Astyanax mexicanus: one gene and its partners. The protein of the gene in region 3 purifies or fractionates together with the protein of the main gene of each other region. This does not show direct contact. Links are inferred from orthologs where the notes say so. Each region holds a gene or a part of one and is shown on either strand. Other genes may lie near its edges. The genes, in order: wdr75, wdr43, utp4 and utp15.

Region 1 (8,274 bases), on a different chromosome or scaffold from region 3:
ACTCAATTCCATTTCACACTGTATTTCTTCTTTAGGCTCCTTTACCTTAACTATGTATACACTTTGAAATTCATGTATACTATGAATTCCACAACCAAATAGTCATTTACAGTATTTATTTGCAGAAAATGAGAAATGGTTAAATAACAAAAAAGACTTCAAATAATGCAAAGAAAACAAGTTCAAATTCATAAAGTTTTAAGAATTCATAAATCAATATTTGGTATTCAAACAACGCTGGTTTTAAATCACAGCTTTCATGCATCTTGGCATGTTCTCCTCCACCAGTCTTACACACCGCTTTTGGATAACTTTTTAGGTTTTCAAGGTTTTTAAGTGTCTTTTTTAAAGTCTTTTTTTATCCCAAGAATATTATTGAACAGTCGAGCACTAAAGCCATACATAAATTAAAGACAACTGTATTAAATGTACAGGTATTTAAAGTGAAAGCAAACATTCCTCTACATGAGTAATAACGTGTTTTTTTTGTCATCGCAAACCTTGAAAAATATGTGTTGTTACAAAGTGTTTATATGAAATTTAAACATTTAAACTAAGCTTGAGACATAAAAGGCAGGTTATACAGATATTAACCCATATCTATCTCTATATACAGAGGATTAGAGCTGATACTGTACCTGTGAGAGTTTCCTCCACACTGAAAGCCCCGGTGTGTTACAGCTCCTGTAGTCGGGCTGTAGGAGCGGTAATAACAGTGTACAGTGTGTGTAATCCTCTGTAGCGCTGCTGCTGGGTCTCCTGTAGCGGAGCAGGTGAAGTTATAGTCCGGGTCAGAGCTCAGCGCTGGGGTCTGTCCTCCTCCCGCTCCGCCGCTGTGTTGCCTCCTCCCGCGCGCTGCCTGAGCCCCAGCGCGAGCTCACCAGTATCAGCACAGGACACGCCCCCACCCCGCACTGTGATTGGCTAACAGCTCTCTTCCGCCCTCCACCGCTTTCACACGTGTTTAGTATTTTATTATACGGTATGTTTATATTGTTTAATATATGTGTCATGAATTAATCATTCATTTTTTATCTGTTTTTTTTTGTTTTCTCTGCCTTTTTTCTTTCTTCCGTTATCTTTTATTAGTCTTTGTTTCTATATTTATTTGATTGTATTTATTTCTTTTCTTTTCTTTCTTTCTTTCTTTCTTTCTTTCTTTCTTTCTTTCTAGTCTTTACATATTTATTACTTTATTTATTTAGAGTCTTGGTTTCTTTTTTCTTCGTTCATTTTTTAGTACTTTATTCTTATATTCTTATATCTTTCTTTCATTTAAGTTTTTCATTTCTTTCTTTCCTTCTTTCTTTTTTTCTTTCTTTCTTTTTTATTTTTTCTTCTTTTTCTTGTATTTATTTTTTCATTCATTCATTTATTAAGTCTTTGTTTTTATATATTTTTTAATTCTTTTAAGTTTTCCTTTCTTTTTCTTTCTAGGCTTAACTTTTTTACATTTTTTGTTTAGGTTTCTTGCTTTATTGTTTTAGTATTTTAATCTTTCAGTTTTTATTCTTCCTCTTATTTATTGTGTTTATTTATTTATTTATTTATCCAACCATTTATTTATTTATGTCTTTATTAATTTATTTAGTCTTTGTTTCTCTTTTTTGTGTTTATTTCTTTCTTTCTTTCTTTCTAGTATTTACTTATTTATTTATTTAGAGTCTTGGTTTCTTTCTTTCTATCTTTCTTTTTTATACATTTCAATCTTTCAATCTTTCTCTTTTTTCTTTCCTTTGTTTCTTCCTTTTTCTAGTATTTATTTATTTCTTAATTTATTGAGAAACTATTTTTCAGTCTCTCTTTGTTTTATAGTCTTGCTTTCTTTTATTTTCTCTTTTGTAGTCTTCCTCTTTCCTTCATTCTTTTTAAACATTCTTTCACTCTTTGTAGACTTTCTTCTTTCTTTTTTGGACTTCCTTTCTATTTTCTTTTTTTTTTCTTTTTCTAGTTTTATTTGTTTATAAACTTTCTTTGTCTCTCTATATGTTTTGTTTTGTTGTTTTGTCTGAATCTGAAACACTAAAAGCTGAAAGTGTATGTAGGCCTGGAATCAGATACAGTTACAGTAGATAATGTAACTGTAGGTAAAATCTGAGGAGCAGCTGCAGCCGTGGGTCGGTTCAGGATAATCTGCAGGTGAGGCTTTAAAGGAAACTGTTGGTGTGTTTCATGAACAAGGAACCATTCTGAAGAAAAGGGAATTCCCCTCTGATGGAGCTGATGCAGTAAAGTTTGTCTCACGACACCACCGCCTTACTGAAGACACCTAACTGAAGACACTACTGAATTATCACTTTCTCACAGAGATCAGATATCACTTATCACAAACTGATCACAAAAATTAGGTTATTATGTTACACATGAGGGACACCGCATTCTATAATCACAATAGACTTCTGTGTCATGAGGATGTGGCAGACTTCCAGAATATTTATTTAGGAATAATTTAATCTTTATCCGCAGTTCCTATGTGTTCCACAGAGTATAGCTATATTGTGTTTTTCAGTAATGTGTCAATTCTCAGCAACACTGTACCAATTTATAGGAAAGTTTACATGAAAAGAGTCTTGAAAGACAGTGGTTAATTCTGTGCTGACATATTATAATATTAATATAGGACATATGTTGTTATTAGTGTGGTCAAAATGATTTAAAAAAGATAGATAGATACTTTAATGAATTTCTGGAATTACATGCTCCATGATTAATTATATTCATTACTTTTTGCTTTGAAAGTATTTTAAAATAAATATACTTTCATGGGTGGAAATGTTGGCATACCTGAAAAGTATTTATCCCATTTTTTATACATGTTTATTTTTATTTGTGCACATTGTAATAGAAGAAAAAAAAAATAAGGCAATTTTTTATAGTATATCAATGGGTTGTACTCAATTATTCACCTTCTTTTCAAAATTGTGGTTAAATAACTGAGAACTGTCTGAGGACCTCAGAACCAAAATTGTGGAAGATATCAACATTCTCACTGGTACAACTCCATCTCCAAAGATCTTGATGTTTCACAAATGGTGCACAAATTAATCAAGAAGTTTACAACCCATAGCACTGTAGCATAACCTCTCTGGACGTGGACGGAAGAGACGAAGAGAAAAACTGATGAAAGGTTGCAGAACAGGATATTCTGGATTGTGGATAAGCAGCACCAACACCAATCAACCAAGTTCCAAAGAAATTCAAGCTGTCCTTCAGGCTCAGGGTGCATCAGTGTCAGCACAAACTATCCTTCAACTTTCAATGAAATTAAATGCTATGGAGAACCAGGAGGACCCCACTGATGACACAAAGAGACATAAAAAGGCTACATTGTAGTTTGCCAAAATGTATGTTAGTAAATAAATCCTTTTGGGAAAAAGTGATGTTTTTTTAAACAAGAATATTGCAGAAGTCAGAAGTTTTTTAAATGGATAAATATTTTCTTAAACTTTTCAAGACAGTAAGGCTGCTCATCAAGACCTCCATTTCTCATCTGTGCCAATTCAGAGATTTTTCTTACAGCTGTGGACTGTAAACACAATGCTGGTGCTTACTAATTAAACATTAAAAACAGATTTGATTATTTTTAAATAAGCAATAAAGGCAGTTGCAAAGATCTCCCTCATTAAGAGGTACAGATTCAGATTTTTCTAAAACCCAGCTTCCTAATTTTGACAAGGTTTTAAACATAGAGAGATTTGATTATTTAATGATGGTCTTCTATTTAACATATATTTTCCAGGATGACTTATTACGTAAAAATGTAATTAATTCATTCATCAATTTGCTTCTCAGCTAACATTAAATTGAATTGTAGCTATACAGTTTAAAATATTTGAATGATGAATGCAATGAGTATCACATACAGAGTATGTAATTAATTATATTATTTTTTATTGCCTGAACTTACAAATCTTACAAAACTTACAAATCCGAAATATGACAAAAAAACGATAAAAAATAAAAAGGAATTTAGTAAAAAAAAAAAAAACGGAATTCATAGGGCCCTACGGATGGTATTTATTTATTTGCTCCTGAGCTAACATTAAATTGAATTGCACAGTTTAAAATATTTTGATGATTAATGCAATTAATTAATTACAGAGAATGTAATTTTTTAATCACCTGAAAGTACTATTAAAAAACCTAAAAATCCGAAATGTGCCATAAAAACGATAAAAACTAAACTTAAAAAACTGAATTTAGCACAAAAAAAAAAACAAAAAAAAAAACGAAATAACGCTAGGACTTTAATCATGTTCATTACAGGAAGCTTTTAGGTCTATGTCAGTTATTCATTTATTCATTTGCTCCTTAGCTAACATTAAATTGAACTGTACAGTTTAAAATATGTTTATGATGAATGTGATTAATTAATTACACAGTATGCAATTAATTATATTATTTTTTAATCGCCTGACAGTACTTTTAAAACAACCTAAAAATCACAAATGTGACGAAAAAAAACGATAAAACCCGAAAACAGAAAAAACAAAACATAATTGACCAAAAATATAATAAAATGAAATTCATTGGGTCCTTAGGTCTATGATAGTTATTCTTTCATTCATTTATTTATTTGCAACATTAAACTTGACAGTTTAAAATATTTGTATTTATTTGTATACTATTAAAAAAATGACAGTGCTATTAAAAAAATCCGAAATGTGACAAATAAAAACGATAAAAACCGAAAACAGAAAAAAATAAAACGTAATTTACCAAAAAGGACTTTTATTTTGTCTCCGGTTGGCAGGCGGCAGCAGCGTGCGCAGGCCGGCAGCAGAAGAAGAAGATCATCATGGTGGAGCAGAGCGGGGTCCGCGTGGTTCGCTGCGGCGGCAATAAAATCAATTTCAGAGCTCCGATCATCACTAAAGACTGCAGGTATGATCAGCGACCGGATAAAAACCTCTTATACTCACTGTTTCCTCACTAGTGTGAGCTGATCTGAGAGAGATGGGGCCTTCTGCAGCTTCATATGCTGCTCTGTAAACAACGTATTCCAATTTATCATATTTAAAAAGATTTAAAACATGTGTTTTTGCTGTTTAATGCTTAGTGTGGAGCGTTTTGCTTATTCTTTTATTCAAAATGTTCAGATTAGTGCTGAATAATCAGAGATCAGACACCTCCCAATCATAAAGAAGCTAACTAACTAACTAACTAACTAAATACCCATGTGTTGATAGTCATGTTTACCCTGGTTAACTACTGAATACTACATGCCCTGACTAAATTTTACCTAAATGAAGTTCATATTAGGCATTTTTTCATCAGGTGGAGATTTGTATGTTCCTTTTCCTGCAAAACTTTTGGCAAGTTGACACAAACGTGTTTACATCTTGGTGGTAAAGGATCATTTAAAGGTAATCATATTTAGTAATAGCATGGTCTCAGTGGCCAACACATTTAGCTAGGTTGTTTTTTTGGTTAACCTTACCTGGATATTAAATATTACTGAAGGGAGGTACTGAAATATTACTGAATTGGTGGCAGCACAAGAGTGATGTAGACTAGGGCTGATTGAGTTGTCCTCAGGTTGTCCTGCAAGAACAAGGAGATGTTAATTGCAAAACTGTTTATTCTCACACACTCATGAACATGCCACTCATTTATTGGATTATTAAGACAACATACAGACTTGTGGTGCAAAAACACTTCTTTAGAAGACGGGAAATTACACAAACTTACAACATTAGCCTACTTTTATAAGATATCTATGAAATAAGAATTTCAGCACATTTAGCATAAACTACGAAACATACACAAATTAACAGTAGCCACTCTAGGTAAGGTAATCATTTAGCATTCTGTACAGTTAGCATTTACTGATACAAAAATCACTCAAAACAAAGCTAACTATATAATACTTACTAGTGATTGCATGCAGACCAGCTCAACTAAGCAGTAGGGGTGGGCGATATGGCTCTAAAATAATATCACGATATTTCAGGGTATTTTTGCGATAACGATATACTTGGCGATATAGGAAAACTAAAATGTGAGGAATATATAATAATAAATAATATAATAGGAATATAGTATAATAGTATAACAGTATAACCATAATGTGGCAAAATAAATAATATAGCATAAAATAATATAATTCAGCAAATAATATTGCAGAATATTTAGTGCATGCATATAAACTGCAAACTAAAACAATTATACAATAAATGCACCTAAAGCTTCACAGTAAATAATAGACTACTTTTAAGACAGAACAGCCCTATTATCACGATATGGATTTTTAATATCATGATATTTCTGTGTCACGATATATTGTATACGATATAATATTGCCCACCCCTACTAAGCAGCTGAAAATCTTAACAACCTAAGCAAGTTTAAACTGAGTATGGGTTTAGAAGCTGATTAATTAGAAGGGAAACATGGTGACACCCTTGTTCCTCACTAGTGTCGCTTAAAATGCGCCTTATAATTTGGTGCGCCTTATAGTCCCTAAAATACGGTAATTAACAGTGTTAACTTAAGAGGTGTTCTGCTTTTTGCACACTAACATTTAAGGTTTTTGCTCTCAAACTGTGAAACACTTTGCAACCTTCACTAAGACTTGCTGTTTCTTCAGTCTTTTAAACAGGCATTTGGATAATGTACCATTTTATACTGTGATTGTATTTTTTGTATTGTGTGATGGTTTTGTAAAACACTTTATGACCAAAAAAAGAGCTAAATCGTGTTTTCTTATTTCTCATGTTTGCTTTGATTGGCTGGGCATTATTAGGGTGAGCTGAAGTGAGCATTGTGATTGGCTCAGTTCATTAGTGGTCATAGTGCTGGACGATATGGCCAAAATTCATATCACGATATATTCCTTAATTTCGGTCGATACGATATAATTTCGATATCGATATAAATACTTAGAAGGCCACAGAAAACTGCGAAGAATCCCTGCAATGGAAATATGTACCTACTACTGTCTGAAAATTTAATTTAAGTCTTTGAAACCTCCTTTCACGAAAACATTATAATACTTAAGAAATTAAAAATAGTCAAGATAAATCAATGCTCAATTTTATTTGCATATAGCAAAATAAAAACATGACATCCCTGTCAAACATAAGCCTATATAACTATTACCAATAAAAATAACTTTAAATTAGGACAGAAGCAGAGCTTCTTATTCTTTTGTAAACAAATTTAACAGATCAAAACAAAAGTGTTTCAACTAGGATAAAGAATAAAAGAAGCCTTTATATACATAAAAGCAACAAGATTTCCCCGTCAAATAAACAAACCTATAGGCTTTATCAACTATAAATAACTTAGTTACAATATAAGCTACAAAAGTGCTTCAGCCAAAATACAACTCTTTATAAACATAAAAGGAACATGATATCCCCGTCAAATAAACAAACCTAAAGGATTCATAAACTTTAAATAACTTACAACATACGCTATAAAAGTGATTCAGCCAGTATAAGGAAAATATTGTATGTAGTGTAACTGATTGAGGTGGCGGAACAGATTAGATGTTTTAACGTTACCGCTGCTAACCTGCTCCACTCTCCGGCACAATTTGCAGCAAACTGAAGTTTAGCAGACCTTCGAGAGTTGAACCAAATCCTCACCACTGAATTAGACCTCCCTCCTTCAATTGATCACTTGTGGCAGGGGCATTCATTTTGCATCAAAAATGTCCCGTGCTGGGAGCCAAGAGGACCCGCGGCTGACCGAGAGGACCCGCGACTGACCGCTGACCGAGCGGACCCGTGGGTGGACCGAGCGGACCAGAGGCTGACCGAGCGGACCCGTGGGCGGACCGAGCGGACCCGTGGGCGGACCGAGCGGACCCGTGGGCGGACCGAGCGGACCCGTGGGCGGACCGAGCGGACCCGTGGGCGGACCGAGCGGACCCGAGGCTAGGGTAGGCTAGGCTCGGCTTGGTTCCGCTCCATTCCACTCCAGCGCGGAGCATTTCAGATGCGAACTGAGCCTACCTTAGCCTTGGATCCGCTCGTCCCGGCTCCGTTTGGCTCCAGCGCGAGGCATTTTAGATGCGTAGCGGACCCGAGCCTAGCCTAGCCTAGCCAAATCTAGCCTAGCCTAGCCTATCTGGCTACGTGCCTATGTGATTACATCATCACGCACAGAGATAGTCCAGCTACGGAGGCTGATTGTGTTCAGCTGTGCGACGAGCTGACGCCAGTAAAACGCCTGTCCGTGACAGATTCTGTAAATAATACATATCGATATACCACAAAATCCTATTAAAAGGGATCAGCTGTCCCACTTTCCCCAATTACAGCTTTT
Region 2 (7,894 bases), on a different chromosome or scaffold from region 3:
AATTAATCTTGATGACCTTTAATACTGCTTTCAATACTATAAACTTTAGCATGTGTTCTTGAATGCTTATTTAAACAAATAACTAAATACACCCAAAAGTACAGGCTGCTCATTTAACATTTCTTCTGATAAAGGGCATTATAAAAGGGTTTATCCTGCTTTGTTGGAGTAACTGTTTCTACTGTCCAGGGACATTTTTCTAATAGATTTTGGAGCACTGCTTTAAGAATTTGATGGCATTCAGTGACAAGTGCATTAGCTCAGGAGGTCAGGATGCTGGTTTAATTCAATCCAAAAGTATTTAAAGGAGTGCCATTATTCCAGAGAACACAATTCTATTGCTCTACAGCTTAACAAGTTCACGAGTCCTATTCTACATGGACTAGACAAGTCATGTGTGCATTTGCACGTTTGTGTCCAAAGCGTAAAAGTAAGAATGCACTGATTAGAAAGGTGGCCACAAACACTTAGACACACTGTTCTCAAACATCACATGCTGACACTGACAAGGAATAAACTTGTAGTACTATTGTCTACTTAACTACTTAACTTCTGTCTGCTTTTCATAACCTAATATGTATCAGATTAATCCCACATATTGGGCCATTTTAATCAGCTGTTGACTTTACAGAAAACTTAAGCCCTATCCGGACGAGATTAGTTTCTCTTTTATGGGGGTTCCTCTGTAATTTTATTCCCGTCCGGAACGACCACGTACGTGTTTTTCTCAGACGTCCTCTGAGAAAATAACATGCTGAATTTCCTACTGATTTTTTGCTAAACTCTGTGGTAATTTTAGTCCTTTAAGGACAGGGTTTTAGTCTCGCTTATTTTTTGGAAACTTCAGAATGCATTAAAATAAAACCAAGATATGACATTAAGACTTTTTGATTGATTAAAGACATTTTAAAGCAAATTAAGGATTTTTTTGTTCCAAGTTAAACAAGACTTTAAGGAACTGCAGACACTCTGTATACTTAGCTGATAAAAATTTAACAGCAGTAGCAGGAGAGGAGACATCAAATATTTGTCAATAAAGTGTCCAAACAAAAATAATCACTTTACTCCCTACTTTATGACCAGAAGCTAAAATATTTATATTGCTGCTGACTTTACTTAAAGTTCAGTTTTGTTTTTTCTTGGAAGTTCAAAATGTATTCATGTAATCAAAATGTGGCATTTTAAGACCTTTTGGATGTGATATGAGGATTTGAGATATTTTAAGACAAGTTAAGGAATTTTTGTTTTAAGCTTTTTACATGAAGCTTTTTTTGAAAAACTGAAGACACCCTGTATATCATAGCTACATAATTATAGCAGCGGCATGAGACGAGATCATCTTAAAACGATAATGACATTTATAACAATTATTCCTATGTCAATAAACCGACTTTTTGACCAGAAGCTAGAATAATTATATTTCTGTTGACTTTACAGAAAGTTTAGTTTTGCTTATTTTATTTTGGAAACTTTAAAATGCACAACAAATAAAACAAAATGTGGCATTTTTAAGACCTTTTGTAATCTGATTTAAGATATTTTAAGACAAATTAAGGAATTTTAGTTTTTAGTTAAACAAGACTTTATAAAGAAACTGCAGACATCCTGTGTATTGTAGCTAATCAGAATGTTTGAATATGCGTAGCTGTTAATAGCATTGTTGTGCTTCTATATAACAATTACCTCAGTGGCATGATATGTGGTGATATTAAAATAAAACTAGAATATTAATATTACTGTTGACTACAGAAAGTTTAGTTTTGCTTATTTTTGAAAACTTCTAAATGCAGTAAAAATGTCATAAATGTGGGATTTTTAAGACCTTTTGGATGTGACAAATTAAAGAATTTATGGTTTAAGCTTTTTACATTAAAGAACTGCAGACACGCTGTATATCGCAGCTAATTAGTATGCTTGAATTTTTTTGGCTGTTAAAAGGAGTTAATAGCATTGATGTGCTTTTACATAATTATAGCAGTGGCATGAGACGAGATTTTCTTAAAATGAAGATAATGACATTTATAACAACTTTAAGGTGTCAATAAACCATTCAAAAAGTAACTTTTCTGCCAACTTTAGACCAGAAGCTAGAATAATTATATTGCTGTTGACTTTACCGAAAGTTTACTTTCGCTTTTTTTTTTAAACATTCAAAACATTAAAAAAGATAAAACAAATCGTGACATTTTAAAAGCTCTTGGAAATTGTTTGAAGATATTTTAAGACAAATTAAAGAGTATGTTTTTAGATTTTTACACTTTTTAAGGAACTGCAGACACCCTGTATATGTCAATTAGGATGTTAAAATATAGTTAATATAGTACAATTAGTTAATAGCACTGTTGTGCTTTTATGTAACAATTATATCAGTGGCATGAGATCAGATTACCTTAAAATAAAGAGATTAGTTAATAGCATTGTCGTGATTTTATAAAATTATTATATGAGTAGCATGAGATGGCCTTAGAATGACAAACATATCATTTACTTGCAATATTTATGGGACAATATCGTCTTAAGACGACATATTGCTCAACTTTGCTCCAGTTAATGCCAAAGGCTTTATGGCCAGAAGCTTTATTAAATATTAAATATATCATCAACATAAACAACCTTCAACTGTAGGTTTCTATATCTAGACCTTCCAGTTTACCACCTATCTAGTAATTTAAATACTACAACTTTTTTTTACATGGAGCTAGTTAGCTAACTAGCTAGTAACTTGGTCATTAACCATTTGAGCCTTAAGATTATAAATAACAAGCTCAAGCGGGCACTGTATTCAAAAACAATAAGCTTAATAAAGTTTTGATGGATATAAAAAAGGGAAAATTAGGTATTTTACAGCTTAAAACAAGGAGCAAGAGGCCATCTTAGTGGTCACAGCTAGGTTGACTAGCTAGTGGTGAACATGTGCTGCGAAGGACCACATGTGCGCCTTGCTTTGCTGCGATGCTAGAAGGCTAAGCTAAGCGCTAACGGGCTAGGCTGCTAACACGCTAGCTCAGCTAACTAACGAAGGCCGCTAACGTGGGTTATAGCTACTCAGAGATACGGGCAGGCGGATTTTGGCACTTATAAACACACACACAAACACTGAGAAACAGAGAGACATCCGCACAGCATCACCCAGTCCGGTTCGCTTTTTCCGAAGCGAGAAAAGTAACAGAAAGCGAGTCTGAAAGCTCCAATTTCAGCTGTTTTTCTCCTCCTGCCTCCATATAAACTGAGATTGAGCCTGAAGCTCGTGCGCTACTTTTAAACATCATCAGTTTAAAATAACAACGAATTTAACGGCCACTTAACGAGCGCTCAGGTTCAACTTATAAAAATCAGCACGTGCCGTTTAATTCAAATAACTGAACTACAGCTCTGTTGTGTCTCGCGCACCTTGCTGGTTCTGCACGGGCCCCACGCCACGCAGCTGCAGGCAGCGCTGAGCCGCGCGGAGGGCGCGTACTCCTGCCGGGGTTTCCCACCGCTGCCGCCGCCGTCCGCGTCCCAGATCCGCAGGCGTCCGTCGCGAGCACACACGGCCAGATACTGCCGCCGCGGCGCCGGTGAATAGGCGCACGGGAGCGCGAGAGAAGCCGAAGGAGCTGAACCTCCGCCGTCCGCCGCCATCGTTCAGCGCGACTCTGAGCGTGCGTAGCCGAGCGCTGGGGGAGACACGTGGGGTATTACGGAGCGCTGGAGAGAAGGGAGCACGCATGCGCCTGCTCTGTCACGTTTCGTGGGCGTGGACAAATATTCCACTTGACCAATAACGTATGTTAAATTTGTAAATAACAGTAAATAAACTGCTAATTTAATTTAATATGTAAAATATATTATTTTCAAGTAGGTGAAGGCAACTAAAATAAAAAAATATATAATTTTCAAAGACATAAAAATGAGTAATTGATTAAATTAATGGTATATTATTGGCAAATTTGAAGGTAAAGAAAGGCATTTATATATTATAAATAATCACATATTTATACTATTAAAATATAATTAAATGTGTGCAGCAGTTGTGTATGTATGTTATACAGTTAATGCATTTACAGGAAGAGAAAATAATATACAATCAAAAGAAAAATAATTATAATAAGAAAAATAAAATGATAAAATGGTCATTCTCAGAAGCTACGATATTTATATCCCACAAAAATCTTCTACTGTATCTAGGTTTCTATGTCTAGACCTTTCAGTTTACTACTAACACTTAAAATATAATAATTTATATACTATTATAACTGTATTACAGGAATGATTTTTTTTAGTTGAGCTAACTTTACTATCTAACTTGGCAACTAACCACAACCTTTGAGTCTTAATATCATAAATCACTCGAGTAGGCACTGTATTCAGAAACATGAAGCCAAAAAATAATAATGAATACAATAAAATGAATGAAAAACTGAATCTATGGAAAATGTTTTAAAAAGAGAGTGAGCGGAAAGTGGAGTTTTACTCACACCCTGCGGCCGCTCTCGATACTGCAGCTCTAATGTTTTTGTCGCTTGGCTTAGGCGTAACAGTGAAACATGGCGTTGCCCAGTCAGGGAGTCACGCTGTGTTTCTGCTCTGTACTGTAGTGTGCTCTGAACGCGCGCGGGTTTCTGTTTGAGATAGCATGAGCTCGTTTACGTTTACTGTGTTTTATTTATGTTGGAGCTGATATGAACTGCTCGACAACACACATCTCTACCATATAGTGTGTGTCTGTGAGTGAGTACAGTAGAGGTGAGTAGTGCTTAATATCTAACCTATCATTTTTTATACACATGCATGTTAATGGAGGCACAGATTAGTTACACTACTTACAATTCATATTAGTTACAATTCATACAATTGTATGTTCTATGTTATAGTATATTGTATTATTTTTTAATTTCTGGTCTGCTGTAGCATTGCTTACCCTGCAGCTTTTAGCTTGTTATTATAGGTTTTTGGAGGTTGTACGTTATATTTTAGTACTCAGAGATTTGTTGGACACTGTAACGTTATTCATTTGTTTTGTTTGTTGGTTGTAATACTTCTTAAGTCAGTATTTAGTTGTAGTTTACAGTTGCATTAAGGTCAGTGGGACGCTTATCAATTTAGTTTTCTATGGAGCCCAGGGAGGGACATGATGTATTTATTTATTTTTTTTTAGGTAAAAAGTGGTGAGCACCACATGCTATGCGGATATTTATAAAGTACTAGAGATCCAGACTTGAGTTAAAGTACAAGTACTCTATCAAAAAAGTGACTTGAGTAGAAGTTGAAGTGTTCTTTAAGCAAGAAGTTTTATTATTTCTAATAAAACTAAGTAGCGATGTAGCGACTCGGTTCTAATACATCAGCTCACAGATGCCCTGTGCTGTGGCAATCACCCTCGGAGTGATGTGGGGAGAGAGCGCCATCTACCCACCTGGAGGGAGCGCCGGCAGCTTGATGGCAAAGCGAACCTGCGACCTCCTGCTCATCGTGGCAGCACTTTAGACCGCCCCGCAAGTAGTTTATTTAAACATAATCTACTCAAGTACTGAAAGTAAAAGTACAAGTATTGTACTGTGTAGTCTTTACAGATAAAAGTCCAAATTGTTTATATTATTTCAGATGTTCAGACTACAAGACACTCACAATTCCTTAGGCTGTAACAACAGCACAAGAACAGGAACGAACAGGAAAGAGTACATTTACATGAAGTCTTTGACGAACTCTCTAAACAAATTTACCCAAAAGAGAGGCTAAACAGTAAACTGTTAGGATATTTTAACAAATTCAACATAAAAGGTCACTAGTTGGTGTGTCACTATTGTAAAATCAACTAAAGCTGTCAAAGTCCAAGAGATTAGAGCAGCTTTAAATACGGAGATCTTTGTAAACAACAACAGATCAACATCATGTCATTCAACCTTTAAAGCATCTTTCCCACTCCAACAAATAAAACATGGACTGTAAGTAGGGCTGGGGATAGTCTTCCTCACTCTCACCACCACCACCATCACTCCAAGTTGAAGGTGGTGTTTCTGTTTTTTCCATCTCAAAACAAACTTAACAAATCTCCAGGGTTCTTAATGCAGGAAGGCAGCAGAGCAAAAGGCAGAACAAGAGCAGCGTGGCCTTCTTAAATAATCAGCTTGATCGCTTGCAATACAGTTTTCACATGAACAATGCATATTTTTATAGTATCATATTTAAAAAAATATTATTACTGTGAAAAAGTTACTGTTAATTGTTTGTTTGCAGTTTTCATGCACTAAATATGCTAAACTTTAGTTTTGTAGTACATTATTCTTATTACGTTACTTTATTTTTTATTTTTTTAGATTTATATTATTTTATAATAAAGGGTCTTGTTTCTACTGAATGTATGAAACTCTTGTATTTATGCTGTAGTATATTCTTGAAATTAATTAAAAAAAAAGCTGTTTTGTCATAATACCAAGAATATTGTCATTGTGAAAATACCATGAAATATCATGATATTAATTTAGGTCCATATTGCCCACCCCTAATTGACACCACTAATAATTATATATTCAAATTTAGTTTTAGTCCAGAATTCTTCTTTAAATATATTTAACTGCTTTAATCTGATCTTCCTCAGGTGGTGTTTAGGTGTCTCTCTACCTCAGAATGACTCACAGACTGACCAGAGTGTGTGCCACCTGTTTAAGGCAGCAGAGACTGAATAACAAGTATGTTGATGCCAGAAAAACTCCCACAATTTGGACACACGTTCTGAGGAATTTCATTATGGCTCCCAGCAGTTCAGACGGGAATAGTGATGATCCAGATGCAACGGCTCCACCTGGTCCAGCAGATTCACACTCCTCTAGAAGAGCCCTTCTGTTGGGGAGACGGAGACCCCTGTCTCCTTTAGAGCGGGTCAGTCAGCTGCTGCCCCAGGATTCGCTGAGTAAGGAGGTGTGGGAACTGAGGGAGAAAAAAGCCCTAGATGAAGCAGAAACAGAGGAACAGGCACAGGAAGTGCCTACTGTCGGTAAGGAAAGGCAAAAATAAAACTCCATGTTTTTACCAGTGCATTGAGATATACAGCTCTGGAAAAAAATCAGAGACCACTTCAGTTTCTAAATCAGTTTTTCTAATTTTGCTGTTTATAGGTAGATGTTTAAGAAAAATGAATTTTAGTTTTTTCTTTTAACTACGGACAACGTTTCTCCCAAATTCCAAATAAAAATAATGCTATTTAAAGTATTAATTTGCAGAAAATTAGAAATGCCTGAAATAACAAAGATGCAGAGATTTTAGACCTTAAATAATGCAAAGAAAACAAGTTCATATTCATAAATGTTTAAGAGTTCAAAAATCAATATTCGGTGGGATAGCACTTATTTTTTTAATGCATGTTGGCATGTTCTCCTCCACTTTGTGTCTTACACAATGCTTTTGGATAACCTTATGCCACTCCTGGTGCAAAAATTCAAGCAGTTCAGCTTGGTTTTATGGCTTGTGCTCATCCATCTTCATTTTGATTATATTCCAGAGGTTTTCAATTTAGTTAAGTGCTCTTTTAGTTTTTTTTTACCCATAGCTGTATACATACAGATAGATACAGCTTTTGTGGTGCAGCTTTGTTGTCTGTTTTAGCCATACTACACAAAATATGAAATACATTTTGATGAATTTTGAAGTATTTATTCCTGTCATGTCATCCACACTGGACTGTAGGTGAATCTCAGGTTGAGGATGATGCTGTAACGCAGGGCGAGGAGACTGAAAGGATGGAGCAGATGATGCAGTTTGGGGAGACCTTGCTTGCGGAGTATCGCCGTAGTCGGAGGGTGGAGTTCCGGAAAATGTTTCTGCTGCAGGAAGGAGCCAAGCTGCAGAGTAACTGGGGCTTTCTTCCTCACCAGACCATTGCAGGGCTCCCATCTGGAAGTGTCCTGCGCACCAG
Region 3 (7,927 bases):
CTCTCATTCAGCCCTGAACAAGAAAAAAAAAAAACATCAGCCTTTCATAACTCCTCCACCCACCCACAACCCTCCTCTTAAAGCACCACGTCACTGCAAACACCAGGAGAAATATGACCCCATTACAGAGCACACTTAACCTACATAAAGAGTGTGTGTGTGGGGAGGGGGTGCCCCAGGGGAATAGTGGTGGTGATGAGGGGCACAACAGATTCAGTACATACACGTGCATTTCCACCACCTAAAATAAACTAAAAAAATCCAGCACATATTTTTCTTCTCATTATTATGTAATGTTTTTAGATACTATGTTTATTTAAAGCAGTTTTTGCTGACTTAGTATCAAAAATAATGAGATTGTATCTTCATTTAATGACTTTGCATCTCAAATTACTGACTGCGTTTTAAAATGAGATAGTATCTCAATTTAATGATCATGTATTTTAAAATAGCGACTTTGTATCTAAAAATATGTATCTCAAAATAACGAATTTGTATTTCCAAAAAATAATTCTAAATAATGATTATGTATTTCAAACTAATGACTGTATCTCAAGAATAATGGGATAGCAACTTAATATAGTGATTTAATATCTCAAATGAGATTAAAGAGATACTGAGAGTGTATCTCAAAATAATGACTCAGTATCTCAAAATAATGTGATAATGGGAATAAGCTTCCATAAGATGGCAACAAGGCCCAAAAAAGCAAATTAGGAAATTTAACATTTCTTACACAATTCAATGTAAGACCACATACTGCACACATTACAGAGAAAGTCATGGCTACAGAAGAAGAGGGTGTGGGACTGGACTGGTCTATCTGCAGAACTGACTTGTCCTCAATATATAATGTATACAAATAAAATATATAAAGCAATGAAAGGGGCTCCGAGTGGTCCACTATGATCAGGAGATCACTGGTTCGAATCCCAGTCATGTAGCTTGCCATCAGCTGCTGGCGCCCTAAGAGAGTACAATTGGCCTTTTTTGGTGGGAAGATAGTGCTCTTTCCCCTTATCACTCCAAAGGGTGATGTCACTCAGCACAAGGCTGCGTCTGTGAGCTGATGTATCAGAACTGAGTCACTTCGCTTTCCTCCGAGTGCGCTGTGATGCTACTTGACAATGCTGCACCAGTTTGAAAAGAGGTGGTGGCTGACTTCAAATGTATCAGAGGAGGCATGTTCTAATCTTCACCCTCCTGGTGTTGTAACATCACTAGTGATGGGGGATATACAGCTGAGTACCAGCTAAATAGATGGGGCATAGCTAAAATGAAAGAAAATGGAAAAAAATAGAAATGAATTAAAAAAGAAAAGCAATGAAGATGCCTTGTTGCACACCTTAATGATGACATAATTGCAGGAAGAATGGGAGAGACGAACACCTGAAACACTCCACTGCTTGCCGAGTTTAAGGGGCCAAAACATATTTTAGGTTTTGTGAACAGAATATATGGCAAATATAAGTGGCAAGTGCTTTTTTTTAAAGCGCAAAGCCTCATAAGCAAGGCTGCACTGATGATATTTGTTACTGTCTTGATAAGGATAACTGTTATAGCAGTGTCTGTGGCTGTTTATATTAAAGCTTCTGTTGTTTGTAAAGAAGATAGAAACGTAATGATTTAATTATGATCTTTTATTTGCCACTTATCTACAAAATAAAACAGCAGAAATCTAGGAAACTATGTAGATGCAGGGAACAGCAACAGACACTGCTAGAATTAATAAAGACTAGATTATGGCACACAAGTGCAGCTTATCACACATTCTGGGCCAATGTTACTTCCTCTCAGCTGGACTGTTATGAAGGCCTTACTGCATCCAGTTCCAGTTACTGAGTCTGACTCATATTCTCTCTCTCTCTCTTTCCTTCTCTCTCTCTTTCTGAGAGAGAAATGCATGGACACTAAAAGGGTCATTTCATGAGGTGATAGCATTATTTAGGAAAGCAATCCACCCAAATACTGCTGTACAAATCTTTACCAGAAACATACTTGGAATAACTATGACACTTAAAGCAAATAATACAAATTTAATGGATCATTCTAGGGTCACCATCCGTCCCATAAAATATGGAATTGTCCTTTATTTGGCAATTAAATGTTGTGTCCCATATTGAACCAATACTGGGTTCTGTTTGTTCCATCTTTTCATTATATGGGACATGATTTGTTCTGAATTTCCATAAATGTCCAACACACACAGACACACACACACACACAGAAACACACAAACATCAACACTAAATCCAACAATAATGATAAATAATGATTGATTTGCTATCTGGCTGTGCTTGATGTCAGTCCGTAGGGCATACCTTATTTTAGTAGACTATCGTGATTTGATTGATTGTCTACACATTTCCTATATTAAAAGTGTTTGTAGGGTATTCTGTGCATTTTGTGTCAAAATGTTTATATTTCAATATAAATATATATAAAATTATAAAATATAAAATAAAATACACAGGAGTCTGGCCCATGAGGAGCTGTGGTAAATTATATGATAAATTATTATCATTTCTGAAAAATGGCAACACTAGATCGTTCATACATGGGAGCATTCTAAAAAAGCAGCTAATTATATATTAATTATATATAATATAATTTAATTATATAAAATACATATATTAAGGGATTATAAAGAATTTAAATATACAAATTCTATTAAACAGAACAGTTTTCAGGTAATATTTTAAACACAAAGTCAGTTCATTATATTATAAAAATAGACTGACTGTTCTGGGTTCAGTACTTAGTGTACTGCTGCCCTCTAGCGGCAAAAGACATGACCTGCTGCCACAGAGCCTGTAAAGAAAGGAGAGTACCCACTCTTCAAAATTTGATCCAACACGCGCCTCTCTTTCATACACTAGAGGGCGCTCCCGAGGGAGACCAAAATTAATGGATTTAATAGGGAGCTATTGAGCAAAATCGTTGTTTATAAATGTTTGATAGTGTTTAGAATGATAATGTACAGACCAATATGACCTTTTTCAGTACCACACACATTATTTTAAAAGCTTTACACCCGCTGGTAGCGTACCAACTAACCAGCTTACAGTAACAGTAATGTTAGAGTCTCTTTTATTTATTTATTTTTTTTAATTAACAAAATTTAAGGCAAAACCACAGCAAATAAAGCGACTGACAGTACATATCCAAACAAAACTAACAGAACAAAGAAACGTGGGATTCAAATAAAATAAAAAAAAGCTTCAAAATATCAATGGATTTAAGACATTTCTAATTCATTATTTGTTGAAAATTTGCCATGGTGTGTATATGATTAGCTATACAAGTCAGAATAAACAAATGTTTGGAATGAGGGCATTTTTTATAGCAAATTATTATTTTTTTAAAGCAAACTAAAAAGTGAATCCAAAAAGACCAAGAAAATACACAATAAAAAAGGGTTCAAGGGATTCTGTGGCTCCTTTACAGAAAACACACGTATCACAAAATAGCAGTAACCGGGTAAGTAACCAGCGTCTCAGTTGTTTGTTTTCAGCAAAATACTCCAGTATGCTCACCAAAATGAAAGCAGCTTCCTCTCCACAGGTTGTTGACTCACCAGAGTTTTAACCCATTTGAGTTTTTAGGCGTTTAGCGCCGTTCAATTAATTTTGGACTGACTCGCGGGCTCCCTCTAGCGGCTGATACTCATTTTCTGATATACAGAGTTGCCAGGTTCGCGTTTTTTCCGCCAAATTGTGTTTGTTTGAAAATCCATTCGCAAGTGAAAATTCCGGGGTGGCGTGGTGCGTTTTTTGGTCTACTTTTAAAACCTACCGCGGCCGCGGTAACATCAGAAGCAGAACAACCTCAGTACAACACATTTTCAACTCACAAAAGTAATTCATAAGTCATATGTTAATAATTTTCTTTTTCTAAATCTAGCCTATAGGCTACTTCGTTTTAATTGATTTTAATGTATGTATTTTTGCAGCTGAATAAATGATATAATATATATATATTTTTAAAATATATTTTAACTTACATTTAATGTATATATATAATTAATGTTAATTTACATGGAATTTATATCAGTTTATATCAGTTTGTTTTTACTTGCCTTTCCCGTCTTTTCATTCTACAATACATTTTACACGACTCATCTATCTTTCTCTCTATGTTTTTTTTCTTTTCCCTTGTTTTATATTTGCAGCTTTTTATATTATATATTAAAAAAAAACTTTTGCCGTTTGATTTTTAATTTTATTTTGAAGTGTTTTTTTTTTTTTTACGTTAACGCGCTTCGGGTCTCAAAATCCGGGGTAGAAAAGTACAAACTCAAAGTCCCTTTGCATTCACAAAAGTAACATTTTATTGCTGAAAATAAAAATAACGTCATTAAACCTAACATGAATTAGTACTATAATAATATATATTTTTTAATCTGAACGTAATTGTGAGGCAGTTCAATGTTGAGCTTTTTTTTGTTGCAACAAATCGCCGGGACTTTTAATTCCAAAGTCAGTTTCACTTCCGGCTCTAAGGTTCTCAACGTGGTTCCCGCAGCAGTCCAACGTGTGGAGCAGCTGAGAATGAAGAGAGCGAGTTTATAAAGGAGATTATTGAATAAGGTAGGATCATTACAGCGGTATTCTCCTGCACGGTGTTCTCCTGCATGTCCTTCAGCTATTTTTTAGATAGTTATGTCTGTGTGTTTAGTTTCAGATCAGCACCAGTTTCCTCAGCAGTGTTTTTACCTGAGCTGTAGTTCAATATAACTCTACAGCTCATTAAACACACATTCATACAAGTTATTGTTAGGCATTACAGAACTGACTCTTTAGTTACTGTACTCGGAAGTTATCATTACTGATTTTTAGTGTTTGATACAACCTTAAATTATCAAAGTACAAAAAAATATTTAGAGACTTAAGCTGTTCACTGGATTTATTAAATGATGATTTAGTTTAATAATCAGTTAATAAAGGCTTTCGCCAGGTTAACGTCCTTTCAGAACAGAGGAAAAGAATGAAATAACTTGCCTGATCGGTTTATGTCTTTTAAAAATTGCTTTTCTACATTGTACTATAAACTATTGATTAAAGTAAGGGAACAGTTCATTGAGTTGATTAAATTAGCTACTTAGTTATTGAGAAAAATATTTTTTTATCCAGCTTAGGAAACACTTTTAATATAGAGAATAGTAATAAACTGATTGTTAAATTTATAGAACAATTTAATAAATTACAAAAATAAGGAACACTATCAAATTTAGGAAAGAATGTATACATTTATTCAAAATGGTCACAAATAACAGCAATAAACATTTCTATATGTAAGAAACATTATGGAATTCCTAAGTATTCTCTCAGCTCATTAGTAATTGACACTGGTTAGACATTAGTAAATGCTACTAATTGTTTAATCTTAAAAATGTTTAAAACAGTAATAAATAGATACATTAAAATGTAGATTAAAATGTTGTAATGAATGTTAATGTCTTAAATCGTATCAGTAAATAAGTATTTGAGACATTTTGTGATGAGTACTGTTAGTTCATGTACCCTTATTGTGAAGTTTTAAATAGGGGGGAGCAATTTACTAAATTTAGGGAAGGATTTATAAAGCCTAAGAAATTGTTTGTCTCTAAATATTATATATGTATCCTAATACTTCAGTGATCCTGTATGATTTAACAAAGCATGTCATTGTTCTTTTCCAGTTGCTTGGTTCTTCTCTACAATGGGGGAGTTTAAGGTGCACCGGGTCCGGTTCTTTGACTACATGCCGTCGGCTATCCGAGCTCTTGCCTTCCAACCGCAGCGGGAGAAAATTGCTGTAGCCCGGACAAGTGGCTCAGTGGAGATCTTTAACTGTGCTGACCGCTTCTTTCAGGAAAAGGTCTGTGATGTTAATTTATGTACTAAAGCTTTCTCCTACTCAAACAACCTGTACTTTTGATAGTGTAGTTATCCTAAACTCTGTGGGTTAGTTTCTGGTATAGTGAATAAGCCCCTTCATAGACTATATTTTATTTTCAATGGAAATCTCTGTTCATTGTGATGCGTAGTCCAAGACTAGGCATAATCCTTGTCTAGAACACTTCCCGTGTAACATTAGACATTAGCTTTACATTCTGATTTTGCCAAAAAAAATGGCAGCCAAGGCTGTAATTGTGTCTGAAGTTTATTCTTTTAGTGTTCTATTGGTGCAAGAGGCTAATGTAGTGATCATCATCACCTTCTTCTTGTCTGCTAAGTCTAGACATCTCTGTCCTCTCCTTTGTAATCCCTAGGCCAGTTTGGAGATAAAATCCCTTCAATGTGTTCTGGGTCTTGCTCAGGTTCTCTTCCCAGTTGGTTGTGCTTTTCTCTTATCCTATTCTTAAATATCTACTGTAGATTTCTTTCCTTGTAGAAACGCTGACTGATCAGCAACGTTTGGGATATGTGTAAAGTTATGGTGATCTATTTATTTAGCAGACTGTTCCTATAAATGTTGTATGGGTAAAGGCATGTTTGGTAAAACTTAAGTAATCTTTTGTGAGAGTTATTGGGTTACATGTTGAAAAGAAAAGAAAACCTCTGTAAGCTTCCTCTATCTGAATTAAGTATTTCTGTATTTTAAAGTGTGATAAGCCTATTATTTACTAATAGTAGAATTGGTGCACGCTTTACATTTGGGTAAAAAGTTTTGCTATTGTTTTAAGAACACTGTGTGAAATTAAATTTTGCCTCCATTAACAGATAATTCCAGGACGAGAGCAAGCTGCTACTGAGGCCCTTGCCTGGGTCGGGGATCGCCTCTTCAGTGCTGGCTTGAATGGAGTGATTAGTGAATATGATTTGGAAAACCAAAAAGTGAAATACACAATCGATGCATTTGGAGGCCCAATGTGGACCATAGCTAGCAACCAGCAGGGCACACATTTAGCTGTAAGTGTTGTTTGGTGTTTAACTTAACAATTTGAATTGCCTGGCTTTTTAAAAGCAGCGAATGAGAGAGAGTTTTATTTGTGTTTGTGTTTTTGCAGGTTGGGTGTGAAGATGGGACTGTGAAGCTGTTTGAGGTGTGTGAAGGCAAAATCCAGTTCGAAAAGAATCTGGCGAAGCAGAAAGGACGTATTCTCTCTCTCTCCTGGCATCCCTCTGGTTCTAGGATAGTAGCAGGAATGATGGATATGATTCGGGTTTTCAACACAGAAACAGGTAAGCTGTAGTTAGAAACATATAGTTTGCATTCTTTGTGTAACTCCCTTAGAATATGCGTGACATTTTTTTGTTGCCAGGGACCTAATATAAACAAGTTAAAACTAAATTATAAGCAAGAAGATGTATGAATATATTATGCCTGTTCAGTAGAAGAGAAACTAGTCACACTGTAAATATGTAAGCTACACTAAAATAACAGGTAAAAGTGGCTGAGTGACCATAGCCTTAATCACCTGATGCATGACTCTTGTCTTGTGTTGCCCTTTAGGGCAGTCAGTACACAGGTTACTGGTGGAGCGTGGAATAGGAGCCTCCCGGAGTGTGGAGTGTGTGGTTTGGGGTGTGGTTTACCTCTCAGATGGCACCATCATCAGTGGAGATTCATCCGGAAAGGTTAAAATATGGGATGACCTCACTGGAACACTCATTAAAAGCCACCAGGTCACCAAGTGGGATGTGCTGGCATTATCAGTTTCACAGGTGAGATGCAATCAATTGTTGATTGACTGATTGTTGTAGATGCACAGCTGATTTGTTAGGCGCCCGCATGATTTCAGTAAATGAATTGCATTTGGAATTCACTATGATCCTCAGGATGAAACCAGTGTTGTTGCTGGGACGTCAGAAGGTACTGTGGTCCAGTTCCAGTTCCTCTCAGTAGTGCTGGGCCAGGAGGACAAAGAGTGGGTCCAAACAAGGATCTTTAAGAACCACACACATGATGTCCGGGCTGTGCTGGAGCTCGGCACTGCTGTTGT
Region 4 (7,964 bases), about 4.8 Mb from region 3:
CTGCCTTTTCTTTCTACAACATTAGAAAGAGCAGCTCTCAATCAAGTCTCTGGCTTCCTCACCCAAAATGACCTCCTGGACCAGAACCAATCTGGATTCAAAAAAGGACACTCTACCGAGACGGCTCTGTTGTCTGTGACAGAAGCGTTAAAACCTGCTAGAGCTGCAGGACAGTCCTCAGTGCTCATTCTGCTGGACCTCTCGACACAGTCAACCATGACTTCCTCCTAACTATACTCTCGAACATGGGGATCTCAGACAATGCGCTGTCATGGTTCAGATCGTACCTCACTGGGCGCTCGTTCAGGGTGTCATGGCAAGGACGGCTGTCCCCAGCCCACTCGTTACCCACTGGGGTTCCCCAGGGTTCGGTACTGGGACCTCTTCTCTTCTCAATATACACCACCTCTCTAGGTCGGGTTATCCGCTCACATGGTTTTTCCTACCACTGCTTTGCTGATGACACCCAGCTATACCTGTCGTTCTCACCAGATGATCACTCAATCTCTGCACGAATATCACAGCGTCTCTCAGACATATCCGCATGGATGAAGGAACATCACCTCCAACTAAACCTCTCAAAGACTGAACTTCTGGTCATACCAGCAAAACCTTCTATTCAACACAACTTTGCCATAACCATCGACTCTCTCTCTCTCACCTAGGTTGCTAGGAACCTGGGTGTTCTGGTTGATGACCAGCTTCTCTTCACGCACCATGTGGCCTCAGTTGCTCGATCCTGCCGCTTTGCAACATCGGAAAAATTCGACCGTTTCTGACGCAACAGGCCACCCAACTCCTGGTACAAGCTGTGGTAATCTCACGCCTCGACTACTGCAATGCCGTATTAACTAGCCTCCCGGCCTGTGTAGTAAAACCACTACAGATGATTCAGAATGCAGCAGCACGTTTGGTCTTCAACCAACCAAAACGGGCACATGTCACCCCGCTGCTCATTGAGCTCCACTGGCTACCGGTTGCTGCTCGCATCAAATTCAAAGCTCTTACAATCGCCTACAAGGTGATGACAGAACAGCTCCTTCCAACCTGCACTCACTCCTGAAGGCTTACGCTACCTCCTGGCCGCTGCGCTCCTCCAATGAACGTCGCCTCGCTTTGCCAAACACTCACACAAAGCAATCCAGACTGTTCTCATACAGCGTTCCCCAATGGTGGAACAAACTACCTTCCACTACCAGATCAGGAGAATCTCTCGCTATCTTTAAGAAACTCCTGAAGACAGAGCTCTTCAAAGAGCACTTACTCTCCTAACACCTCTAACAAACTAACTAATTCTAACCTCATCTCCTTCTTCCTCTTCTCTACTCCTCTATCCCATTATTTCCCTCTGACCTCCTTAAGGCCCTATCTATAGATGCTTTATTTTTAACTTCTATTATTTTTGTACTTAACCTCTTCTATTATTTGCACTTCAATATTGTAAGTCGCTTTGGACAAAAGCGTCTGCCAAATGTACTGTAATGTAATGTAAAAGAAATGTTCTGAAATCCTTTTGTTCAAATATACAAAAAAGAAAAGTGTGAGATAAAAAAATAACTCACTCTGGTGGAGGCAGTTACTACGTAATTGTGAGGTGCCACTGGAGAAAACTCAATTTTTGTTACAGCACCAAACTCTTTAATCTGCACAGGAGCCTGAAACAGAAGACAACAAATCAAACACGTTAAATAAATGACATTCTTCTTTTATTTCAATTTTTAGAAATAAATAATAAAAAGAATCATGGATACCTTGTAGTTTTTCCAGTACAGTGTATCCTCAGTAACCTTCTCTCCTAGTTTTGGATACGTATAGACTTTAGTGGGTTTAAAGGATGCCATTGGAGCAGTGTTCTCTCATTCAGGAATCCAGGAAGGCCTACAAAAGAGCAACATGTTCAAAATGTAGTTCATTAAAATCCACCATTGTCAGAAGAACAACAAAGAATACAGACTAACTGATCGACTGAAGAGTAAAGGCAAAAAGGGGCCAACAAGTGCTAAACACCTCTGGAACTCCTTCAAAACTGTTGGAAAACCATTTCAGGGACCACCTCTTGAAGCTCATTGAGAGAATGCCAAGAGTGTGCAAAGCAGTAATCAGAGCAAAGGGTGGCTATTTTGAAGGAACTAGAATATTCTTTTTTTTTTTTTAAGTAATTTCACTTTTATGGTTTAATACATTAAACTCCACATGTGTTCATTCATAGTTTTGATGCCTTCAGTAAGAATCTACAATGTAAATAGTCATGAAAATAAAGAAAACATATTTAAAAAGAGAAGGTGTGTCCACAATGGTAGGATAGCATTTTGACAGACAGAAAGATAAAACACAGATTGACAGAAGAGCAATTATTTTAAATGTGTTTTAACCCATAAGAGACCAGACTCAGTTCAGATTATTGATACAAAATCTAAAATTTACTTTATTAAATGAGTTGGACAGCTCATTTTTTTTCCTTAATGTTAAAATTTCGACAACAACGTGGAAAACAATTTATTAGAGCATTTCAATAGTTAAACTGGTTAAAACAGACTTAAATAAGTGAAAACACAGCTACAATTATCTCCAGCACACCTACAATCTGTAAACAAAGTCAGGTGACCACTTATTCACACACTTTCCTGCGATGCTCTCAGGATGTTCTGTATATGTGATTTAGGAACTTCTTAAATTAAAGTGAAGGACAAAGTGCTTTAAGAAACTTTGCACATCTTTTAAAGGTCTGTTAGGTATGTCACCATGGGTTCTTTGGGTTAAGAAATAGTTGTTTGATTTATAGTAGATAGTAACGCTTCAACAAGACGAAGAAACCATAGGGTTAAGTATGTAAAGGGCCTGTGAATTGTCATGGTCCTGCATCTATTATATTTAACAGACACTATTTAGAGAGCACCCTTTTAAGGCTGTAGCATTACTAACCTAACCCAGCTTTAAGACTAAATCAAAACTGTTTGTTAAATTACACTAACCAAATTAACCCAACACACTGTGGGATTTATTTTCAGTAAAAAAAAATCGAATATCAATACACGTGCAGAAACAAAAATGTAGGGCTAACTATGTAACAAGTTTAATAATGAGATAAGTTATCTAGTTAGCTTAGCTTAGCTAGGTTAGCCACCGCTAGTCTACTAAAGTAATACGTTTATCAGCAGAAGTAATGAAACACGGCCAGACGCGGCCGAGTAGCACGAGCACACAAATGTAAAAAAAAAGTACCGAAGTGTTTGCCGTCTCCTGGAGAAACCGCGCTGGTTTAAACTGCAGTTTTTTGTATTTTTTTCGCTAAACGTGGAGAGAAATCACGTTGCTTCTACGGCCACACGGACGCCACCATGTTGGACTACGTACTTCCGTTTGCTGCGCATTTGGGCGCATCTCAAATTGGTCCGTGCTGACTATTTAGTGCACTACTTAGGGGACGAGATTATTACGGAGCCCGGGAGGGGCCGTGGATAAAAAATAATTAAATCGAGCGAACGATTTAGCAGTTTATGCTCACGTTTTCTTTAATTCGAGTAAACGATTTCTTAAATTTGAGTGAACAATTTCTTTACTTTGAGTAAAAAAAAAACTTTAATTCGAGGCAACAATTTCTTTATTTTGAGCAAACGATTTATATGAGCACAAAAAAGTTTCCCCAACATAGGCAGGATAAACATGTCTCCAGCTTACATCTTTTCCTTCCCCCCACGCTCTGTTCTTAAACTGCAGCCCAAGCAGTTAGAACTACATTTTCCTAAAAATACTTCGACTTTATTCTCATAATATTCGGGCTTTAATCTCATAATATTATAACTTTATTTTCTAAGTGAACAGGTTTTATTTTTTAAGAGTGGCCCTAAAATGGCATTGTAACAGACATGAAAAGCACTGGAGATGTGTGACTATCCTGCCTGTGTGGACATGAACTCAAAAAAAAACATTGTTCGCTCAAAATAAATAAATCATTCACTTGAATTAAAAAAATTGTGACCATGAATTGCAAATCGTTTATGCGAATTGGGAAATCATAAGAACAAATTGTAAATCGTTTACACAATTTAAAGAAAACGTGAGCATGATCTGCTATATTGTTTGCTTTTAATTCTTTTTTTTATCCTGGGCCCCGCCCTGGCTCCGTAGATTATAGACTCACACAACACAAAAATAAAAGCAATGTGTGTTGAACAGGGTGCCCAACAAAGGTGTCAAAAGTATTTTTGTATTTTATTTTATTGTAAAAAGCTTTAAAAGTGTAAAAGTACTCATTTTAGTATAATAAATTTAATAGTTCATTTAAGTATATAAGTAAAAGTAATATAAGGAAGAAAAAGTGCCATTAAGAACAAAAGCCTTAGGCCACGCCACAGAGTCCTATAGTGCACTTGAACAGTATGCACCCTGAACAGGGCACCAATCCATCGCAGGGCAGACAGACACAAACAGACACACAGACTCTTTCACTCACATACTTACCTAGGGGGGCAATTTTATCCGACATCTAATTAGCCTGAATTGCCGCAGCACACCAATGCAGACACGGGGAGAACGTGCAAACTCCACACAGAAAGACCCGGGTCACCCCAACTGGGAATCGAACTCAGGCCGTTTTGCTGTGAGACAGAAGTACTACCCACTGCGCCACTGGGCCACCCCGTTTTAAAAATGAGCCAAGTATATATTTATTTTAACGCGAAGGACAGTCTGATTAGCCGAACTCATAACAAACATTCTTCAAACCAACTAATATAAAGTATAGAGAGACTCCCCCCACATAGCCGATGATAACAATTGTTAAGTCCGCTCAATAAAATGCAGTGTGAACCCAATACTAACCAAAACAAATGTACACAATGTAACAAACACACAAACCTTAGTGTGGTCCAGACTTTTATGTGTGAAAACACCCTGCCATCAGACAGCAATCTGCCCTCATTCTAAACCTTTATCGGATTGATGGATTCAAATAATTTCCTCAGACAGATGCATCAGACTTGGACGGTCACAAAGTTGAGACAGAGTCAAGACAGAGATCAATCACTTATGGTTTCAAGACCCGAGACTGGATCCGAGTACCACAAAGCTAGTACAAGTATCAGTAGCATTTGTGCACAGCAGTGTAGATAAGAGTTAACCATTTAAATATCAACTGTTGCTGTTAAATCTGCATTATGACTTTCCAGCTGGTAAATACAAGTTTTCCCTCATCTTGTAAATACTTGTATTATATTTTCATGACTTAACTGATGACGTGAGGAGCTTGAGTTTTTTACTAGAAAGTTTCTTTGTAGTCTTTATGATATGAAAACATATATTGAACGTCGACACTTATTGTATTGTATTGGATTGTATTTGTTAACATTGTTATGCTGTCCTTTTATATGATTAAAGTTTATTAAACCATTCTTGGCACTATCACACCATAATATTTTTTTGAGCTTTGGAAAAAAAAGAAAAAAAACCCCAAAGATTAATCTTGCTCAAAAGATTTTAAAAATATGTAATCTTTAACTTTATACATTTTGGAATTAGGTGGGAAACTTACTCACCTAACTATTCACAGTAATTATGACTAAGAATTTTGAATCCCACCGTATAAGGAAGGAAGAAGCTAACTGGACCAAATTTAGATAAAGATTTAAGCCTCTATGTAGTGTCTATAACAGTTCCTCGGGTTATTTCTTTGATGAATCAGAAACTATTAGCTCTGGCAGTTAAAAGTACAAGGTACAGTGCTGTCACATAATCTAATAAGAAGATCTTGTTTTAAACACACAGACACACACACACACGCACACTCAAACACAGGCATAAACGCACATTTCCTGTATTTCACCAAAACTTCACATGAACCACATGGGAGATATTATTTTGAGACTGGCATCTTAGATACCACACACAGGACTTTCCCACCACTGCTAGGTTAAGAGTAATTCAATCTTTAAGCAGTCTTGTTGGCATTATTGTAATGCCAGTGTGTTGGGGAAATAGAGTGAATAAATTAGTCTGCGGATGGTGTTACCAGCCTGAATATTCAGATATATTTTTGTAGTGTAACCAAAGTACTGTTTGTGCATCCAAATGAATACAGTGTACCTCAAAACAATAGCACACATTTCTCTGTGTACCAGTAAGGCAAAAAGCTGGTCTTCATTGAGGTTATGTATAGGGTGTCTATGACCAAAACATATAAACATGATGAACTAAACCCAAGTGACATGGGTCCTTTTTATGTTGCTATATCTTTCCTTCATCTTTTCAGGAAGTTTTGAAACAGATGTCTTTAGTTTACTCATCAGGGATCTGACCCTGGCTCTTCTTCGAAAAACAAACATGTACAACACAATGCATATGTTTACAGCTGTTTACATCAAATAACGAGGTAAAAACAAATTTATCTTTATAATTTCAATATAACAACAGAAACTGTTCTACATGTGTAGATATGGGGGATGGCTTTTGTAGAGTTGAACAGGAAGTGAATTGCTTTATTATGCTCCTTTCACCCTGTCCTTTAATGGTGGTGTAGTATCTTGAGCTGCGATGTCATGTAGATGCATGACGCACATGCATGTAAGGACTACAGGACCGCAAGCCATTTGGGACAGATATACACAGATTTGTGTAGATCAGAGGTGTTCTCCAAAACCACTCCTGTTAAGCTGTAGCCCAGACTAGGCCTGTCACGATAGCTTTTTTTGTGGACAATAGTTCCAGATTTATGTCAATTCCATAATTGACATAAATTATATTATTGTCATTTTATAATCATTTTTCATCCCAAGCACAGTAATTTACTTAACTATTACCTAATAGTAGATGACCAATTAGAAAATAAGTAGCAGTAATTCTTCTTTAAGCTAAAATTGATTCATAAAGTGCTTGATGTCGCAAAGCAGCTTTACAGAAATGTGATAGCAGATAAACACATCATCAGCAGAAGTGATTAAGGTAATGTGCATTTATTGTACAAAAGTCGATAACGTAATTATTGTGATAGGCCTTTACCAAGCAAAATAAAAAGGCATGACTATTACACAAGAGTAGACAAGAAACATCTGGACCAGACGACGAGGGGGCGGGGCTACAGATAACACCCAAGGCCGGGCTAGGGCAGAGACATGAGAGGAGACACAGAGCTAACATGAACATAAAAGCATTAGGAAATAAGGCACTGCAAAGGGAAAGTAAAGGTAAAGGCTGGGCTAGATCTTAGATGTACTTAAAGAGTTACTAAATTAGCACTTTTCTTCTTGGTATCCATAATGACTTTTGTATTAAGCAGCATCTAAGCTTGATTTATATTTTAATTCTAGCATCTACAAACTTGCTCTGGATATTTTCTAAGTTGACTTAAATGTAAATGTAGAAGCTTTAAATCTGTTGCTGCACAATTTGTGTCGGTCATCCTCTAGTCCATCATCAGCAGTCACAGGATGCTGAGTAAAGGACAGTGTGTAATATATCCTAAACAGCATTATTCAGCTTACACTAATCACATGAGTTGGGAAGTATGAAGTAAAAAGGAAACCTTTGACTCTGCAATATCCTACAATTTCACTACAGTGTGTAGTAGTTCAGTGGGAGTCTAGGACTAGCATGACCTTCGACATTCAAGCTTTGCAAATTCCCTTATTTTGTGCCATCGTCTTAGTTTTGTTCAAAGTATTCACAAAACTCCCTGCTTTATAAAGCGATACTGCCCTGACTCCTGTGCTCAAAATAACACAGTTTAAACACTGTTGCACAGAATCTTGCATGTCTATTTAGCAGAGCAGAATTCTCACCATTAGTAGATGTATGTTCATACTAAAGCTGGGCTAGCTCTCCCTGAGAGTTGTAAGCCACAGTCAGAACGATTAAAATAGACTAAGTGTGAATAATGACGTACATACAGCTCTTACACTTTCAATAAAAAAAAACACTGTGGTAAAAAAAATTATTCAACATGGTGACTCAAAAAATGTTGGTCTGTTTGC

Evidence for each region.
Region 1: the proteins of utp4 (region 3) and wdr75 purify together in Homo sapiens (co-immunoprecipitation; 3 studies listed by BioGRID and IntAct, counting the BioPlex papers as one, with this or other methods). This does not show direct contact. The link is inferred for Astyanax mexicanus from reciprocal best matches to the Homo sapiens genes UTP4 and WDR75.
Region 2: the proteins of utp4 (region 3) and wdr43 purify together in Homo sapiens (co-immunoprecipitation; 5 studies listed by BioGRID and IntAct, counting the BioPlex papers as one, with this or other methods). This does not show direct contact. The link is inferred for Astyanax mexicanus from reciprocal best matches to the Homo sapiens genes UTP4 and WDR43.
Region 4: the proteins of utp4 (region 3) and utp15 purify together in Homo sapiens (co-immunoprecipitation; 4 studies listed by BioGRID and IntAct, counting the BioPlex papers as one, with this or other methods). This does not show direct contact. The link is inferred for Astyanax mexicanus from reciprocal best matches to the Homo sapiens genes UTP4 and UTP15.

Annotation. Positions count from the first base shown.
Region 1 is NC_064418.1:43,448,347-43,456,620, forward strand, and holds the start of wdr75 (WD repeat-containing protein 75), read left to right. Parts: upstream 1-4,758; 5' UTR 4,759-4,798; coding exon 4,799-4,884; intron 4,885-8,274. UniProt on the Homo sapiens protein: Ribosome biogenesis factor. Part of the small subunit (SSU) processome, first precursor of the small eukaryotic ribosomal subunit.
Region 2 is NC_064421.1:41,015,563-41,023,456, reverse strand, and holds the start of wdr43 (WD repeat-containing protein 43), read right to left. Parts: upstream 3,678-7,894; 5' UTR 3,625-3,677; coding exon 3,391-3,624; intron 1-3,390. Other genes in the region: trmt61b (tRNA (adenine(58)-N(1))-methyltransferase, mitochondrial), read left to right, coding at 6,610-6,976, 7,666-7,894. UniProt on the Homo sapiens protein: Ribosome biogenesis factor that coordinates hyperactive transcription and ribogenesis. Part of the small subunit (SSU) processome, first precursor of the small eukaryotic ribosomal subunit.
Region 3 is NC_064416.1:19,241,338-19,249,264, forward strand, and holds the start of utp4 (U3 small nucleolar RNA-associated protein 4 homolog), read left to right. Parts: upstream 1-4,499; 5' UTR 4,500-4,589; intron 4,590-5,680; 5' UTR 5,681-5,700; coding exon 5,701-5,859; intron 5,860-6,704; coding exon 6,705-6,893; intron 6,894-6,991; coding exon 6,992-7,166; intron 7,167-7,437; coding exon 7,438-7,649; intron 7,650-7,763; coding exon 7,764-7,927. UniProt on the Homo sapiens protein: Ribosome biogenesis factor. Involved in nucleolar processing of pre-18S ribosomal RNA. Part of the small subunit (SSU) processome, first precursor of the small eukaryotic ribosomal subunit.
Region 4 is NC_064416.1:14,403,468-14,411,431, forward strand, and holds the start of utp15 (U3 small nucleolar RNA-associated protein 15 homolog), read right to left. Parts: upstream 3,357-7,964; 5' UTR 3,223-3,356; intron 1,879-3,222; 5' UTR 1,842-1,878; coding exon 1,752-1,841; intron 1,656-1,751; coding exon 1,563-1,655; intron 1-1,562. UniProt on the Homo sapiens protein: Ribosome biogenesis factor. Involved in nucleolar processing of pre-18S ribosomal RNA. Required for optimal pre-ribosomal RNA transcription by RNA polymerase I.